4 linked regions of the Drosophila melanogaster genome follow. The protein of the gene in region 4 interacts with the protein of the main gene of each other region in a pairwise test. Each region holds a gene or a part of one and is shown on either strand. Other genes may lie near its edges.

What was found.
Region 1: the proteins of CG11286 (region 4) and CenG1A interact in a two-hybrid assay, tested with the Drosophila melanogaster proteins (one large-scale study listed by BioGRID).
Region 2: the proteins of CG11286 (region 4) and CG9578 interact in a two-hybrid assay, tested with the Drosophila melanogaster proteins (one large-scale study listed by BioGRID).
Region 3: the proteins of CG11286 (region 4) and Ntan1 interact in a two-hybrid assay, tested with the Drosophila melanogaster proteins (one large-scale study listed by BioGRID).

What each region holds. Positions count from the first base shown.
Region 1 is NT_033779.5:13,833,846-13,839,014, reverse strand, and holds the start of CenG1A (centaurin gamma 1A), read right to left. Parts: upstream 3,452-5,169; 5' UTR 2,959-3,451; coding exon 2,583-2,958; intron 1-2,582. Other genes in the region: mRpS23 (mitochondrial ribosomal protein S23), read left to right, coding at 4,033-4,076, 4,132-4,293, 4,355-4,718; Polr2C (RNA polymerase II subunit C), read right to left, coding at 4,764-5,169.
Region 2 is NC_004354.4:20,168,546-20,172,397, reverse strand, and holds CG9578 (uncharacterized protein), read right to left. Parts: upstream 2,177-3,852; 5' UTR 2,050-2,176; coding exon 2,035-2,049; intron 1,975-2,034; coding exon 1,640-1,974; intron 1,553-1,639; coding exon 1,333-1,552; intron 1,269-1,332; coding exon 1,020-1,268; 3' UTR 872-1,019; downstream 1-871. Other genes in the region: AnxB10 (annexin B10), read left to right, coding at 1-93, 176-357, 467-469, 750-806; CG9581 (uncharacterized protein), read left to right, coding at 2,553-2,924, 2,982-3,852.
Region 3 is NT_033778.4:18,654,818-18,659,845, forward strand, and holds the start of Ntan1 (N-terminal amidohydrolase 1), read right to left. Parts: upstream 3,406-5,028; 5' UTR 3,259-3,405; intron 1-3,258. Other genes in the region: Gint3 (GDI interacting protein 3), read right to left, coding at 3,720-3,831, 3,891-4,039, 4,103-5,028.
Region 4 is NT_033777.3:7,769,950-7,773,841, reverse strand, and holds CG11286 (uncharacterized protein), read left to right. Parts: upstream 1-2,085; 5' UTR 2,086-2,141; coding exon 2,142-2,449; coding exon of another isoform or gene 2,450-2,450; exon of another isoform or gene 2,451-2,508; coding exon 2,509-2,631; intron 2,632-2,690; coding exon 2,691-2,835; 3' UTR 2,836-2,982; downstream 2,983-3,892.

The sequences.
Region 1 (5,169 bases), on a different chromosome or scaffold from region 4:
AGAAAAATTCGTTTGGGGCTAATTGCAATCGCTTTAATGGGCAGTCGCAAGCCATTTGAGATAAGAGAGGAAATTTGTTTTTCACTACCGCCAGCGGCATTTCAACTGACTGCCGTTGTTGTTGTTGTTTTTAGGGCCGACTATTACTTGGCTATTTACAAACAAACCAAACAGACAACACGCCTTTGTGTTTGCATAAACACCGCGAACAATCGAACAAGAATTCCAGGTAGGTTATTTATGTTCAGCCAAACGAACACCCCCCTTAATGGAATTATCAATTTGTAGTAAAAATTGCCATTGATATGCTGATATCGTGTAATCGATTTAATTTACTAGAAGCTCAATGCACAGCCTTTCTATTGTTTATGGATCCCCATTTATAGCTTCATATGCTAATTTTAGACGGCACATGTAGCCACACACACACAATAGTACGCAGTTTACAGAAATATTTAAGCAGCCATTGTTGCTGAATTTTGTCTAAAATATCAAGGCCTTGGCCTAATTGGATTACAAATCTCGCTGAGGAAGCATCAAATTCTATAAGATACATAAATAAAAATCTCATTCGTAAATAATCAGCAACACATTATTTTTCTTGAGTGCCTTTTAAATATGTAACTAAACTTTGATTCGCTAAAAGTTCAATGACATCTTAGCAGTTAAATGTGGTTTAAGACTCGAACTGATTTCGGTGAGTCAGCAGCTTACAATATTAAGGGGGCACTTTAAACGCAAGAGCTCTTAACCAAAAAAAAAAAAAAAACGGGCATTAAGTTCTGAGATTATATCGATTCTTTAGATTATTGTCCATAAACGTTTTTATTTGTTAAGTAGTAAGCTATGTATAGTAAGCTGCTGTATGATTATTTATGCTATATAGCTTCTAAATCGATTTCAAATGAAAAGGTTAACGAACAGATAGCACAGAATTTCTTTTATTTATTTTCGTTAGATACTTTTGACCTTCTCGATTTATTGGAGACCGTTACCGAAACCTATAAATAAGCATTTGGAACGGGAAAACGGCAACCAGAGTCCAACGAAAGCATCGTTCATCACGCTGACAGCGAATTAGAATCGGTATTCGATATAGTTATATATGTATATATTTGTACATATTGGACCAATGTGCCCGTGTTGCGGGTCAATGCCAATAAGAAAGTCGCGTGCGAAACGGTTTACGAGATCGTACGCTCTCGTATTCTCGGGTTTCGTACATATCTGGTTTGCACGACACAGAGTGGAGTATTCGAGTATTCATGAGGTTGCTGCCGCTGCCGCTGCCTCTGACAATTTTGTTTACATTTTTGGTGAGCCTTTCGTTGTTGCTGCCTCTGCCAGAGATTTTCTAATAAACCATTTCAGGAACCGGTTTTCGGTTTGATTTCGTGAACGGTTTTCAGTTTTCAGTATTCAGTTTTGCTGCCTGCCACAAAGAGGAAGAGGGCATCAAATTTCAGTCCCCGCATACAAACACACACACACACACACACACATGCTGAAAATTGGGCAGAAAAGCTTGTTTTAAACAAAAAACGAAGCTCTTTCTTTTCCATGAACAGAGCGACAACACTTTCAATGGGCCCGCTGCGATCCGCTTGAATGGGCATTTTGGCAACAATAATCCTCGCCATCAACCGGGGGTTGATGTTGCCTCATAGATTTTCGGTCTAAGATTAGCATAAAGCACTCCAAACAAAGGCAACCACAAGTCCAGACGCTCGCGATAAGGGGCACAATGAAGGTGTGGATACAATTGCAGCGATAAACATGTTTAATCAAAGGATTCGCATCTCTTCCCGCCGACTTGACACACTCAATGGGACGACCAGTCAGTCCATCGAAAGTCACGATAGACTCCACTTTCCGACTTTGAAACCCTTTTCTTTACTGTGTCTTTGCATAATTTATAGCACATTTAGTTGCTCATCATTTCTGGGGCACACCTCCGAATGCTCCATTAAAACCAGTGACCCTTGAGCAAAAGTTTCGAATTCACAAGCAGAGCATTTCCTTGTTATGGTGCATAAATTTGCAAGCCATTAAAAAACAAACGAAATATATAATAAGAGTACTGTTATATTTGGAATCTAGCACTTACACATTTTACGTTTAAAAGCCTATTTTCTAGCAAAACATTTGTGCAGCTGCTTTCAAGCACTTAAGCGTTGAAATATATTCATTAAAATACTTTCAGGTTAAGTCGGGTTTGGTCGTACATCTTATAAACATTATATGCTATACTAATCACATTTATTTATTTATTACAAAGAGTGTAACGACCCAAATTGGATAGACTTAGTATTAACAGGTGGAAATGAGAATCTATAACTCGAAACCTAAGCTAAACATCATAAACTTTTCAGCAATATCTAATTGGACAATTAGGCCACTTGATCTCCTTATTGCCATTTAATAGGAAGTTAAGCCTGCAATATTTACAGTATAAACAGGTGGACAAACATAAACTTTGATTGCAAAACTAATTACAGAAACCGCTTTACCATTCAATGGCTAAACTCTAGTGTAACTAATTATAATCATTAAACTAGGTGCACTAATAGAGGGGGACTTACCTTCAATGCAGACCACATGGTCCCGAATGGACTGGGCTATCTGGGCATCGGCCATGGGCAGCAGATCGATCAGTTCGTATATGGCATAGATGGATGGGTGGACGCTCTCGAATCGCTGGATCTCCTGCCGGATGGCCAGCGAGTTGCTGATGAGCGGCTGGGGAGGATGGGCCACCAGGATAGATGCTGATGCCGATGCCGATGCTGATGATGATGGCGCTCCGGAGGCGGAGGCTGCTGCAGTGGGCGCGGCATGGTTATGGCGTTGCGGGGGCGGCAACTGGTTCTGGTGGGGATTCTGCAGCTGATTATGGACCTGCTGCGGATGCGGATGCGAGAGCGCGTGCGGATGCGAATGCGGATGGTAGTTACTCATGGCGGGGGCGGTGGAATCGAGAGTTAGCTAAGTTTTTAATTAACTTAATTTACTGGCACATACACTCGTCACGCACACACGGCACACACACAGGCACGAACACTACAAAATTGCGATGGCACAGTTTTCCCAAACGAACAACATTTTCCAATAACAACAATCGGGGCAATAAATGCGCTAACTCGACCGATTTTGGAGTCGCAGTTTTCAGTTCACTAGATCGATTTTGCACCTGCACAAACAATCAAAACACTTTTGTTTACGCTATTACAGTACACAATCAAATGGCATTTTTCTAACAGTTATATTTGATACACTTTATATTTAGTTATTTTGCACTTTTCTCCGTTTTTCCCGATGCGTGCGCTTTATTTGACAGCGAAAAGGCGAAAATTTACTACGAAACCAACAGAAAAGTGCGAGAATTTACGTCGAGCGCAGCCGAGTATGTAAAAGTATGTAGTTGGTGCGAGGCGTTCCACAACAAACTGTGGATGAAGAGCAGGTACAGTGGTCACTCTACAGAGCGAACTTCCACCAACTCAAGTGGGTGATTAATTTTTAACTAACAAGATTTTGTACTATTAATTTACAAGTAATGGTTAGATAGTGTACAGTGATTTCATTACACCAGACACACATGTAATCACGGGATTAATTCGGAATATTACACTTATGGAGTAAGCACTGTACTATGAAGTGCACGAGAAATACCAAAAACGCCAACCAGAAAAATCACCGTAATAGACATAAATACTATATTTGTTTGGACTGGTATCGATAGTAACATAATGTAGTTAATTTATTTCAATTAAGTGCCATATATATGAATAGATTTTAAGTCAATATCTTTGTAACTACAATTCAACCAATTTAAAAAAATAAATATTTCACTTGCCGTCTAAATGCCAATTGGAGCGCTCTAGGCTCTTATAAGCCATAAGTCCGTTAAGCTCACAGCGGCAACTCTGATGGTATCGATAGGCACCGGCTGCTTACCGATAAGTTCATGCACTGCATGTCGTAATCGTAATTTGTTAAAAAACACATTTAATTAATTAAAACTTTACCAAAATGGCACAAAGTAGGCTTGAAAAGATTGGCACAATCTTCACCAGGTATTTACCCTCCTACGAAATATCTGTGCAAGCTTTAAACACCCGACTCTTGCAGAGTTCAGGGCCTCCTACGCGGTGGAGCTATGAAAACCGAGGATAAACCCATTTGGTACGATGTGTACGCCGCCTTTCCGCCGAAACTGGAGCCCCGATTCGACAGACCCGCGCCTGAGATTCCAGTGCGCCAGATATTTTATGCCGAGGATGTTGTCCGAGCGTATGTTTTTCACCTGCAGTCGGGCTTATACCAATACTGAACTAATCTTGTACACCAACAGAAAGCTGCATAAAGAAAACAAACCCCAGGAAACGATATCCCTGTTTGACCACAGGCGCAGCACGCAGTCACAGCAATTTGTCCAAATATACCAGGACCTGAAAGGACAAGGAGCCCTGGATGAGCAAAGGATCTACGAGACCGCACTGGATCTTTTGGCGGAGCAGCGCCAGCAGGCCCGCCTGGAGACTACCCCAGAGGAATGCCTGCCAGAGCAGGATTCGGAATCCAAGTCCCAGCTGCTGAGCGACTTCAAGGAGGCTGTGGTGAGCCAGCAAATCACGTCGTCACCAGCACCACCTGCTCCCAAGGGAAAAAAGGAAGCGAACGTGGGCATTAACATAGACAGCTTGTTCAAGGATTAGGCGGAACATCTTTTATAAACTTAAAATAAACTTGTTATATGTAAATCAAACGGCCAATGCATCGTTTTGGGACTCGTGGCTGAGTTGCGTCTGCAGGTTTGACAGCTTGTTCTTCAGCACCTGCACACCCATGACCACAATGTTCTCAGGCTTAAGGGCACCGGCGGATTCGACGTTGAAGAAGAACTTGTTTGGCTTGGCTTCCCAGTTGTAGGGCGCCTCGTACTGGTCGTCCTCCAGTTCGGTGTGCTCGCTCTTTGGCCACTCATCAGGTTTGGGATACAGAGTGTGTCGCATGGAGTTGTCCGGATCATACTCGAAGCACACGCCTGCGGTAGGATTCCACTTGGCGTGCTCCTTGCCAAATCCCTTCTTGGCGTAGGCGCGCAGCTTCAGCTCCTGCCCCTTGCGCAGCTTAATTATGAGGATCTCATCGTTGCTCTCGCCGTAC
Region 2 (3,852 bases), on a different chromosome or scaffold from region 4:
TCGAGGAGTACAAGGTGCTCTCCGGGCAGACCATCGAGCAGGCCATCAAGCACGAGATGTCCGACGAGCTGCACGAGGCCATGATGGCCATAGGTCAGTATATATTTAACTGTTCCGTTATAAGTAATTGTTGTAACAGACACTTGGTTAAATGACACACTTCTTAACCTTTTAGTTGAGTGCGTCCAGTCACCGGCGGCCTTCTTCGCCAACCGCCTGTACAAGGCCATGAATGGCGCCGGCACCGATGACGCCACGCTCATCCGCATCATCGTCAGCCGCTCGGAGATCGACCTGGAGACCATTAAGCAGGAGTTCGAGCGGATCTACAACCGTACGCTGCACAGCGCCGTGGTGGTAAGTGGATCTCGAAGAATCGCGAGTGCTTCGCACATGGTTAACGCACCCCTTTCCCCTTCTCTTCACGTACTTGTCGGCATTTGTTGCGGTGTTTGTGTTGTCCTAGGACGTAAGTATTGGCCACGCCATTGGTGAAACGGATGTATTCCTGGTCTTGGTTACTCCACGTTATCAAGTGTTCCTTTTACGCTACATATGCTGCCAAAATCCCCATCAAATTATTTCTAAGAACGCCGAAGCAAACTGGTTCTTGGGCATTTTTCGATATCTCATTATTGGCTTGCCAAAAAAGTATTTTCGGGCAAAGTAGTAATTGTAGTGTAGAGGGCATAGCCAAAAAAGCAAGAACTTGGATCTCGCTTCAATACGTTCCTTTCTTTACTTTCCAGGCGGAGACCTCTGGTGACTACAAGCGGGCCCTGACAGCCCTACTTGGATCCGCCTAGGCCCGAGGATGTGGCAGCTGGTCCGCCCAATATTTTATTCGTGTTAATAGCTTTGATCGTAGTGTGCCTTTTAGGAAAATCGCTTTTAATGTCGTCTGCGCATGCGCACACTGTTGGCAATAAATAAACGCATATAGCAGCAGTTGTAACCAATGCGACGACTGACATAAACCTAGAGATCTGGGATCTGGCATCTAGCATCGGACATCGGGACTACTTAAAGAAGAGCTTGTGCAACTGCTTGGACTTCACGGGCACAAATTCTTGCATTTCATCCGGGTTGGTCCAGAAGGCCACACAGTTTTGAAGCTCAGTGCAAGGCGCCTCCCGATGGATGTACTCTTTCAGGATAAAGTCGTTCTCGATCTCGTGGTGGAAGCGGGTGTCGTGCATCCGGATTAGCACGTGGTCCACGCGCAGAAAGTGGCGCAAAAGGATGAAGAAGCCAGAGGGCATCACGCGCTGTGCCAGAAAGAGTTGGGCTTCTTCGATAAGGGCTCTATAATTTGTATTTATCAGCACTTACGATTCGCACGCTCATCACCGATATTCCGTGGTCGTGCAGCTCATCCTCGAACAGAGTTAAATCGTGGTAGAAGATGATGTTCTCGCGCTGCATCAGCTTGAACTTGTTCAGCGTCTGATTCGTGGTCTCCGATCGCACTTTTTCGTTCATGGTGCCCTGGTAGGTGGAGGTGAATGTCCAGTCGAAAGGCTTGAACTTCTCCTCCATTGTCTGCTCGTTACTGGAGTATAGAATTCAATCATTTGGGCGATTTATAGAGGAACAACAGTAGAACGATCCATATCCCAATCTCAATGGGAGTACCCACCGCGTTTCCCGCCACTCCTGAGCACAAGCGACCTCCAGCGGCTGCTTCCCATTGTCCACCAGCGCCAGCGCGTCCATGGGGCAGAACTCGAGAGTGGCGCCGTCCTTGTGCTGTAACACCAGCCGATTCTTGTGGAACACCATGTCGGGCAGGTGGGGCAGCTGCAGGGAGTGCTGGTAGTGGCAGAGGTCGCAGCGGTCGGCCGAGTCCTTGGGACAGCACTTGGCGGTGCCCAGTTGGCAGCTGCTCTTCAGGATGTGCGACTTCTCATACTTGATGGCCCAGTCGTGGAACTGGATGAACTCGCTGTCCACCGGCAGCCGGGGCACAAAGCACTGCAGGACGGGATTACATTGAGTGTTTGGCCATTGGAACTGGGCTATACCAACACATACCTCCTCCATGGACATTCTAAAGATATGTCAAATGATTTCAAAGTGTCTGTCTAAGTCGAAAATACTGTTCCAAAGCCCCCTATTGATCCTGTTAAAAATTTTTGTTATTATGTTAGGGATGCCAATGTCGATTACTTCTAAAGCTTAGCGGCGGTACTATCGAGGTTTTTCGATTGCAGCGCAATATTTAAATGCTATGGGGCGAAAGCAATCAAGTTGGCGTACTTGAGTGGATTCATAAGCTTATATAAGCCGTGGTTGTACACAATTCGAAATGAATCGCGTTTTTTGAAAGCTGCTATAGGTAAGGCGAAACTACATTCACATAGTTGTATAATTTTACAACGATAGTTATCGACATCTGTCAATCGGCGGGACTCTTGTTAAGCAATCGTCTGGCAACCCATGTGTTTTGTTTTTATCCAGGATCGTTAGTGTTTTTAACAGTTCCGTTTTCTGATGTGTATAATATTGTGAAGATTTTAGTTGGCAACCCAAGAACCGGAACCGGCAGCACGATGAATATCCTAAGGCGCCTGGACCGCCTGATCGCTCCCACCGTCCGCCGCAGCGCCGCCATTTCCACCAGCCTGTGGCCACACCGCTGGATGAGCCAGTCCACCACGATCTCCCCAGGAAGTCCCAGCAGCAAATCGACAGTAAACGCGGCCGAGGTGCGTGGCGTGGCTCAGATTCTGCGCCAGCAAAAGGGAAACCTGGGACAGCCCACCAGCGTCTCGCATCCACATCTTATCCAGCCGGACGAGCTGGTTCCGGGCGTGGAGCTGACCGAGATCAAGGAACGCCGTTCGCAGCTGATGCAAAACATCCGCGCCTATGCACGCAGTTTCGGCGGCGAGTTCAATGGGCACTCGAGTTCTTGTCACATGGTGAGGACCTGCAGGCTACAAAGAGAAGCAAAATATATAAACTTGAATCTCTGACAGCTCGTTCTGGGCGCCGCCTCCAAGAAGTATATGAGCGGCAAGATCCCGTACGTGTTCCGCCAGAACTCGGACTTCTACTACCTAACTGGCTGCCTAGAGCCGGACGCCGTGCTACTGCTGACCATCGACGAGGCCCAGAACGTGCAGTCCGAGCTGTTTATGCGTCCCAAGGACCCGCATGCCGAGCTGTGGGATGGTCCGCGCACTGGGCCCGAGCTCGCGGTGCCGCTTTTCGGAGTCACTGAGGCCCATCCGCTGTCCCAGCTGGAGGCGGTGCTGGCCAAGCGCGCAGGCGCCCTAAAACCACACATCTGGTTCGATCAGAAGAGCACCGACCTGCCGTCCCTGGCGGAGAACATGCTGCGATTGAGCGGCAATCAGCAGCGTCCGCTGCTGCCGGCCTACACTTTCCTAGAAGCCATGCGCCTGCTTAAGTCCCGCGACGAGATGCAGTTAATGCGGCGCACCTGCGACATAGCCTCACGCTCGTTCAACGAAGTGATGGCCGAGACCCGGCCAGGTCAGTCGGAGCACCATCTGTTCGCCGCGATTGACTACAAGTGCCGCATGCGCAACGCCAGCTACCTGGCCTACCCGCCGGTGGTGGCTGCCGGTAAAAACGCCACGGTGATCCACTACGTGGCCAACAGCCAGTTGTTGGGTCAGCAGGATCTCGTGCTGATGGACGCCGGCTGCGAGTATGGCGGCTACACCAGCGACATCACACGCACCTGGCCGGCGAGTGGGGTTTTCACGGAGCCGCAGCGCACACTGTACGACATGCTGCACCAGCTGCAGGAGGAGATTATTGGCAACGTGATGAAGCCGGGCGGCGAGACGCTCGACCAGCTGTTCGAGACCACCTGCTACA
Region 3 (5,028 bases), on a different chromosome or scaffold from region 4:
TAAGTCTTTTATAAGTCATTAAATTTGAAAGAAAGACGCCAAAACTATCCACAGTTAAATTGAAGTTAGTATATTTGTATAAGTATGTTATGATAGTTTATAATGGTAAGTTATGATAGGTAACTCTTTGAATGAATATTGGTTTAAGCGAAGTTAGGATTGGTACTTTGTAGGTCCAAGCCCCATATTAATATTTCAATAGCTTAAAGTTTCTACCACTACACCAGGGATTGTGTTACATTTTAGCTGACAAACCGAAGGGAGGCCGAGTCAATTAATCTTATCAAGTGAACTCTGTAAGATTTCCCTAGCAATTGCCTAGGTTGAGGTCCAACCAAATGCAACCCGATGAAGCACCCAGTCACTGAGGTCCAGAAAAACCGCACCCACCATCTCAGCCGCACTGTTGATTGCACTAATTGGCGATGAGCGTGACCATCGGACGATGGACATCGAGATCGACTGCTGGACAGCGATGATGATGGCGATGTGGATGGAGATGGGGATGGGGATGAGGAGCTGGCTGAGACAATGAGACAAGATTTTCATTCATAAAACACTCGCTGAGTGGACCGGAAGTTCTTATTTGATTGCGAATTGTGATAGGTTGCATGGTAGGGTAAATTGGAGCATATAATGTGAACTAGTTAATAGTTAAAGATAAAGATGGTATTTTAATGATTATTAAAGTTATATTTTAACTTGTTTTTATTGGTTATATTATAATTATATAATTATAATTATTATTATATAATAATAAGTAGTTAACTTATTATTATAAGCATGAATACAAATATTTATATTCTATTTGTATCGAATGCAAAAGAGTATACTTGCTTCCGGCTTCCAGAAATATCATTTCTTACTATGCCAGTTGTGTCGCCCAAGTTCAGTGGTGTTAATTAAAGCACAAGCCTTAATTATGGTTATTTATTTGTTTTTCCCGTCATAGGGGAAGTATTTCCGCCAGGAGCGAACTAACGCCGCTGTCTTCCTGCTCACTTTTTTGGGATCGCATTTCCTTTGGCCCCTCGAGTTCAGGGTTCAAATGCAGGCAGAAATATGCAAATTCAGGGCGCTTGCGTGGAGCGATAAAAACAAATCGAAAAGCGAACCCACTGCTTGCTAACCGATTTCCACTTCAATTTCGAGCCGGGTCATAAACATGCCCGGCGTATTGGAGAAGTTCTTGGCCACTAGGCAGCGGGAATGGGCATGGGAATGGGTCACGAGCTTGGCGGAGCAAGCTAAATGCTTGTTAAAGGGCGGGTTCGCAATTGTTGCCGTTTTGCGGGCAATGCGGTTGGTTCGTGGCCAAACCACAAAAACAAATCAACCGGAGAGTGGAGCGATGCGAAGGCAGCACGGCAATTGGCAAATTCGATTTGCAATTTTTGCACCGGCGCCGGAGGATTCGCGAAAGAAGTGCCAAAACGGCTGAGCTGCTGGGTTGAGCAAACAATTTAGAATGAAGTGCAATCGGGAGTCAGGAGAGTTGATTTGCAATTTCATGGCAGCGGCAATTTGCACCTCATCATCATCATTATGTACAGCCAGATATTTTGCGCCGGGTGATGATCTTTCAATCGTTCAATCAGGCGGCGCAGCGAGGCGAGGCACGTGCAGGTTGCAACCCGGCAATGGGTAACAGCTAACCCCTAACTCGTAATCCCTATCCACATCCCCATCTCCAGCTCCCCCCCAAAAAATAAAAAAAGAGAAGACAACGATCCTCAGGATGTCCCACATATTTCTCGCTATCTCCCGACAGAAACAAACTATTCGTATCATTTTGGAATTTCTGGCCTGGCTGGGCTGCAGTGGCTGCAGCTGGGCCCAAGAAACCAGGAAGTCTGCCTGCAACAAGTTGCCGCTGCAGCAATGAGAAAAATTTCGCTAGATAAATAATGCATATCTCACGCACTAGCCTCGCGGACCAAAGTTGAAATAAGGCTCTATTGTACACAGGGAGAAAAAGCCGTGTATGCAAGATGTGCTAAAGTTTCAAAAGGGTTTATTTAAATACACATCTTAAAGATAAGGCATTAAAAAAGGTCACTTAATTGGACTGAGTATCATTTAAGAACTGTAGCCTACCAACTTTGGTGACATTTCTCCCGGTGCAACTGCAGCCGCTGCCTTTGGCCGTTTAATGAAGGCCTAGATCCGCTGCCCGGCCATAATAAGCAATGGCCAACAATGAAATCTTTGGCTCCAGCCCAGGCCAATTTATGCGATGGCTTGCAGTCTCTGGCTTTCTGCCTGCTTTTTATTTGGCTTCTCGTGGCTGCGTGTTTCGATTTGGCGCGATTGCTTGGCTTAATTTAAGCCCTGAGCCGTAGAGATTCATTAATGTTTGATTTTGGCTGCTTTTCTATTTACCTTTTCCCAAGATCAAGCGAGATTTACGCCAAATTGCCAGTGCCCGGAGCCTGGGCGAAGCACTCCTTAATCTACCCACTCCTCTCCTCACTCCTCCACAGACTTTTAGTTTGGCCGTTTTCGATGCCGCCGTGATAGACAGTAAAGGCCAACTGCGAAATTGGTTCATTAAATGCAACTGTTTGTTTAGTGGCAGCGAAGAAGCCAGCTTGGGATTAGGATCAATGCTCCAGTTTTGGGCTCCCACGATATACGATATACGATATATGTACTTTCTCATTTCGTGTAAATGTTTTGGAAACAAAGGGGATTCATATATATCTATTATATAGCATAATCTTATCTTTCTAAGGTATCTTTGTTGGGTATATTGATAAGCTACATTTGTTGTAAGTTAATGAGTCTGATAATATGTGTTTAAACTATTAATTCAAATTGATCATATAAGTTCATATCGTATTGTTAAAAAGAGGGTTGATTATTGAGCTAAGTTCCAAGCAGTTTCTAAAATGTGACAGCCGTACGATCAAGCTGCCTGCTTAATTAGTAGTCCGCATCAACAAATTGCACCCACATGCTATTAATAATTCGATAATGGCCAGGAAAAGTCGCGTGGATTGGGAAATTACAGTGGGCCACAAGTTTTCAGCGGAACCACGCGATGCGCTGACCGCACAAAAGAGTGCGGGAAACTTCCAAAACAGGCGTAACATTTGCTCCGCTTATTAATGGCATTATTTATGACTTTTTGAGCCCCGAAACTAATGTGACTAAGCAACAATTAGGCATTTGTTAATGGAATTATGGTCAAAATGCAATTGGCCGCACTTTGTTATTGTTTGGTACAAACATATGATTCTAGACTTGCGTACTCACTAACATTTACATAGCACCAAATAGTTCAGCGATTCGTGCACTTTTCACAATTCCTCACAGCTCACAGTTTAAGCTCATAGTTAAATAATAATTCGTCAATTTCCACTTGCTAGCGTTGCAATTTTTGTTTATTTTTGCAATAAGTAAGACCGTTTGCAGGTAAGCTTAAAAGCCCACCTGAAATACCGCAGCCAAAAAGATACCAAACAGCTGTTTGACGCACAGTGGCTTGAAAGTATGTATTTAGTTAAGCAAATATATAAAAATAAGTTTTTAATATAAATAAATTTCAAGCGAACAAGTAGCAACAGCCAAATAACCAAATTAATTTAAAGAAATTTTCTTTTGTGTAAAGTGCGTTTATAATTGATTTTGAATAATAGATTTGAAAGTAATAAATAACAACAGCTCTGTTATAATATAAGGGACAAATACCGCTGAATATATGGGTTAAAGCACTTCTACATAGCCTGCACCAGCATTAGAAGGTCTTCCTTTAAGTAGTTTATATCCGTTTGCAAAGGAGCGGGTGTATCATTGGCGCTAAACAGCAGCAGAGTGTTCGGAATGAGTCTGAAATGAAGGAAATCATGTAGTGTTGTACCTAAAGAAAACATTATTGCATCACTCACTTGCAGTCATATAGTGTCTTTTCCAAGTCCTCATCGCCCAGTTTGCCATCGCTGTTGGACACCAAGCTAAAATCCAGGCTTTCGTCCGCCAGGCAAGATTGGACAAACTCGAACACATCGGATATTTTTTCGTACACATTGAAAGTGCCCTGAAAATGATTCGGCTTATTACATAAAATTACTTCAGATGACATCATCGCGGAATGGCTTACTTGTATAAAGAGTCCATTGGGAAATTTAACCCTGACTAAAGCGTATCGATACATGCGCAAATTGCGCTGCTCCTCGCGTTCCCGCATCGCCTTTGTCCGCAGCATCTGTGACTGGGCAATGGCCTCGGATCGCAGCTGTTGCTCTTTCTTGATCTCCTCCGGCGACAGGCGATAAAACTCGTCGGGGAGGGCGACACGACATGCCTGCGATGGAAGTAGGACCTTAATGTTGCGATCCAGCTCCAGGGGAATAATCTCCGAGCTCTTGAGAGCTTCCACTAGTGTGGGCAAGTCGAGATCCTTCTCCGTCTGCTCCTTGGTCCACAAAAGGAAGGGTTCGCCATCGATCTGGACCTCGTTGAAGCCCGCTGCTTGCAGAACATCCAGGGCACCCTCCACGTAGCGCACCTTTTCGCTGAAGATTTTGTTGGACATCCGTATCTTGCAGAACTTCTCCTCCTCGGGATTCTTGATAAGATTCTCCAGATATCGGATTAGCGTGGCAATGCACTCGTCGGCCTTCTCCTTAACATTGCAATTGTGGATGATCAGGCAGGCGGTGAGGCCGCGATCTGCCTCCAGCTGCTGGTAGAGGAACTCTTTGATGCGAACCTTCCACACGCTCTTGGGTAGAATCTCCTCGCTGATTAGGGGGCAGCGGAAGAAGACGCCTTCGCAGGCCAGGTTGCGAGTGTCGCCGCCGGAAGCCGATGTGGATGTGCTGGTCGTTGATGGCGTGCCCATGGCTTCCTCTCTCTGGCGACGCTCTGCCTCCAGCTCTCTTTTAGCCTGTGCCTTCACTGCCGACAGCGAGGTATTGAATTCCCTGGATGTTTTCTTGTCAATGCGCGCCAGTGCCGCACTGGCAGCTGCCCTGGCCTCGTTACTTATTTCATTTCGCTTTGGTGGCACATAGGCCTCATACT
Region 4 (3,892 bases):
TTCGCAGTCATCAAATAAATTAAAACTTGACCATGGACCCACTAACAATGAAGGAAGCAGCAAAGTCTCTAAAGTCTCAGTTGAGTTGCTCAAACATCTGTGCAAAAATGTGTGTGGGCTTGACAGAGATTATGTCTGGATTGCTGAATTTTGGGGACACTGGAGCGAGGGCTTGAAATGAAAATGAATTTGTGACAATATGAAATACTTGTGCATAAGTGAAATTGTTTCATTCTGCCGGGGCGAAGTCCGCCGGCAACCCAGTAAAATAATTGCCCAATAAACAAATGTTTTTGAAAATATGGTCCGAGTGCTCAGCAAACTTATTTCCGTAATGGACTCGGCATCAGGCCCAAAATCAATTTTCATGTCTGGTTCAATGTCATTTCGAAGTGGCGTACAATTACACCCGTAATCCCCTAGCATATGGCAGTAAATCTTGTTGTTTACACTCTCGTTGACCATCGACCATTGTCAATGTTTATTGTTTATTGTTTAACGCTTTTTCTGAATGACGTTTATATTTATATTTATATTAATATTATCAATGGCGGTGAACACATTCTATTAAATGAAATCCGCTATCTTTAAATGCAGTTTGTGGGAATTAGTAGCAGATTGTGTTAGTTTGTGTGCCCAGATTTGACCAACCACTCTGTTATTTGGCCATTTCCCCATTGGCAGATTGAGTTTGCATTTAATACCTTATACGTGATCCATCTGGTAATTAATGTCCCTCGTAGGCCGGTCGGTGAAATAAATTGGATTTGTTGTTAACATTTTAGTCACTGTTTTGTCATTACGCGCTGTGGGAAAGCTGCTGTCAATTTTGTGGCGACCAAAATGACGGTTGGCCAAAAGGCCAAGGGAAAACATCCACAAATTGATGAGATGAGCACTTTAAAGGGAAGTCGACCTGTCTCGGCATTAATAATCCCAGTGCGTGATCAAACTTCAGTCAGCCAATTGCTGGCTACTTATGCCCATAAATAGTTCATTGCATTTCCATTAGGCACTTTGCGGCAATCCGGACGACTGTTCGTTGACCTAATGCGAGCAATTCATTATCTGCAATTAGAGTTCAATTCACAGGCTCTGCCTGGCCAAAGTTCAAGGATCGGCTAGGCCGGCCTCTTGAGGCCATAACACATCATTAATGGTCTCTGCGGCCGGTTGCCAAAGAAAAGTGTAACAATAATGGGCTCGTTTGTTTTCATTGCACACGTGCCGGAGCCCCGACTTTGGTCAAATGTGCTCTTAATAGACCCAGCGTTTTGGGCCATGTTTTTGCTGTGCAAACATTGGCCAACTCTCCTGTCGGCGGCAGCTCCTATTCCCCCTTCAGTGGGCCACTCTTGTGGTCCGGCTGATGGCTCTGTTCCGTCAACTCGGGCGGTTCAAAAAATGAAATTAAATGCGCGAATGCATGTTTAATGGCGCGAAAATGTGTGGAATCTTTTTGAGAATAATTTTCGACCACACCTGGATAATGGGTGCAAATGTGGGTAGATTAGCAGTCGCACTACTCCTCATAGATTATTAGGAGGGACCATTATTAAGGGTACAAATAAGTCAATGAAAGTTCGAACAGGGCCCTGTTAGTTTTTCATTTTTTTAGGGACATCATAATTACAAAGGCTATCCAATCGCATTGAGAACTTTCGAGTTCGCAACTCTATTTCGGGCTCACTTGCAAAGTTTTTTTTACAATGGATATCCTTTAGCATAATTGCATGCATATTGCCTGCAATAATTGCATGTGATATTATTACAGAGATTCCTTTTTTGGTTTTTATTCCACGCCACTTTGAACCAGCCTGATTGTTGAATTAAAAAATTAATGAATGATTTTTGAAATGCCAATGTGAATGGCCGTGTAAATAAAATACAGCAGCCTGACCCCTTTCCATATATCGTCTGATGAATCCTCATGATGTTCTCGGCTGTTTCCATGTATATTTATAAACACCAGCGGCTTAAAACAATAATTCCCCAAGGACTCAGATGTTGTTGACGGTGACAACTATGTGGCGTATTTATTAAAGCGTTAATTGTCGAATCAAAGTAGTCACCGCATAAATAAGCCATTTAATATATCTCAAAAATCTCCAGTTTCCCAAGAGCAGTATCAAATTTTCAACATGTCCGCGACGAGCCTTGTAACCATTAAGTCGATCCCCTCAGCGGGAGATGTCCTGCGGGGTAAAAATGTACCAGTTCACCGCCTCAACGCGAAGTTTGTGGCCAAGGCCCAGGAGAAGGCTAAGAAAGTGGAGGAATTCCTGACTAGGACGAAGACCACTTCGTTGGTTTCCTTGTCAGGACTTGCTTCCCGATATGAGTTCCATCGTCTCCAGGAGCTCGACGAGTGGTATGAGCCAAGGATCAAGTTCCACGACGAGGCCGATGCCAGTTTGCATCCCAGCTACGATATAAAGCACTTTCAGTAGTCAGTTAAGAAAGAACTTGCTGAGTTACTTAGGTTTCCTGACACACCATTATTTCCAGCGATCTTAATTGCTATGTGCGGTATCTGGACTCCAAAGCGAAATATGATAGGCAGTTCCTTCACGAAATGGAGCACATTATTGCCAATCAACGCAATATCTGCGACCAGTTTTTCCTGAAGAAGTAAGCTAAAAGTTAGAAATGATAACATAAATTAACCGGGACTTTCGTGGCTTTTCTAGAATCCTGTGCTATAAAACAATGTGGCCCCCACTGCATACAAAGAGGGAACTGAATAACTTTGTCTCAAAATTCTTTCAACTGCCTCCTAAGGAAAAACGTCGCGTCGAGTATCTGTTGAAAACGGATTTAAGTCTGGGTTGCTAAAACTGATCCAATTGCAAAGTAAATGAGCCTTTTTATTCCACTTGGAAATGGTTTAATTAGCTCATTTAATTTTGCAATTATTCTCTGCAAAACTGATAAAATTACCTTATGGAAAATTGTACAGCCAATAAATTTAATTATGCAATTAAAGCCTTTTTTATAATTTCGCTGCAAAGTTAGTGAGCTAACAAATTGGATGGCTGGCGTAAGAACTGTAAGAAAATGTATTTTATGATTACTTGTTAAATTTTAATAGGATCTCGTTTACAAAAAGGTTAGTCAATCGGACAGCAACTAAATAGTTTTGAATAAAATCCGCATTTGTTTAATTATTCCACTAAATTACATTTAAACAAACTGCCGTTTGTGCATATTAAATATTTGAGCTGCGCTCATAAATAAATTCAAACAATGAATTATTATATTGTTAAACTGTGTAACTATGTGAGCAGATTCATGTTTAAAAGCAATGCAATTGTTTCGACCTCTTTTTACAAGTTACCGATAAGGGATAAATGTGTGCGTGTGTGATTGTATGCGTTTGTGATTGTGTGCGTTGACAGGAAGTGCGTCATTTGTCAAATGCTATTTTATGACCATTTTTTAGCCGTTCAGTCGAGTTTTGTTTGCACCGTGTATACACCTGAAAAAGAGCAAATTTACAAATGTTTACGCAGTGAACAATGACCAGAAACGCCATGTGAATTTGCTCTTTAATTCAGTTATGCCCTTGGCTGAGTTTCTTCTTTAAAATTAATCAAATAGAGTTTCGATTTATTGTTTGGTTTTCGCATAGGCCACAAAAAATAAACAACCATGAATAACTGGTCAGCCGAGGGTAATTTGCAAAGGTTTCACAATTTGAAATCGGAGCTGTGAATGCATTCAGGCCTGTCATTAAATCAAATATTTGTTTTCAATGTGACTTATCAATTTACAGGCATTAGACACAAGGATACAGGGATTTAATCATTTTGCAAGAATTTAGCTCAGGCTAAGCAAACTAGGAATATTTTCCGCTCCAATTCACGCATCACCCGATATTAAATTAAAAACT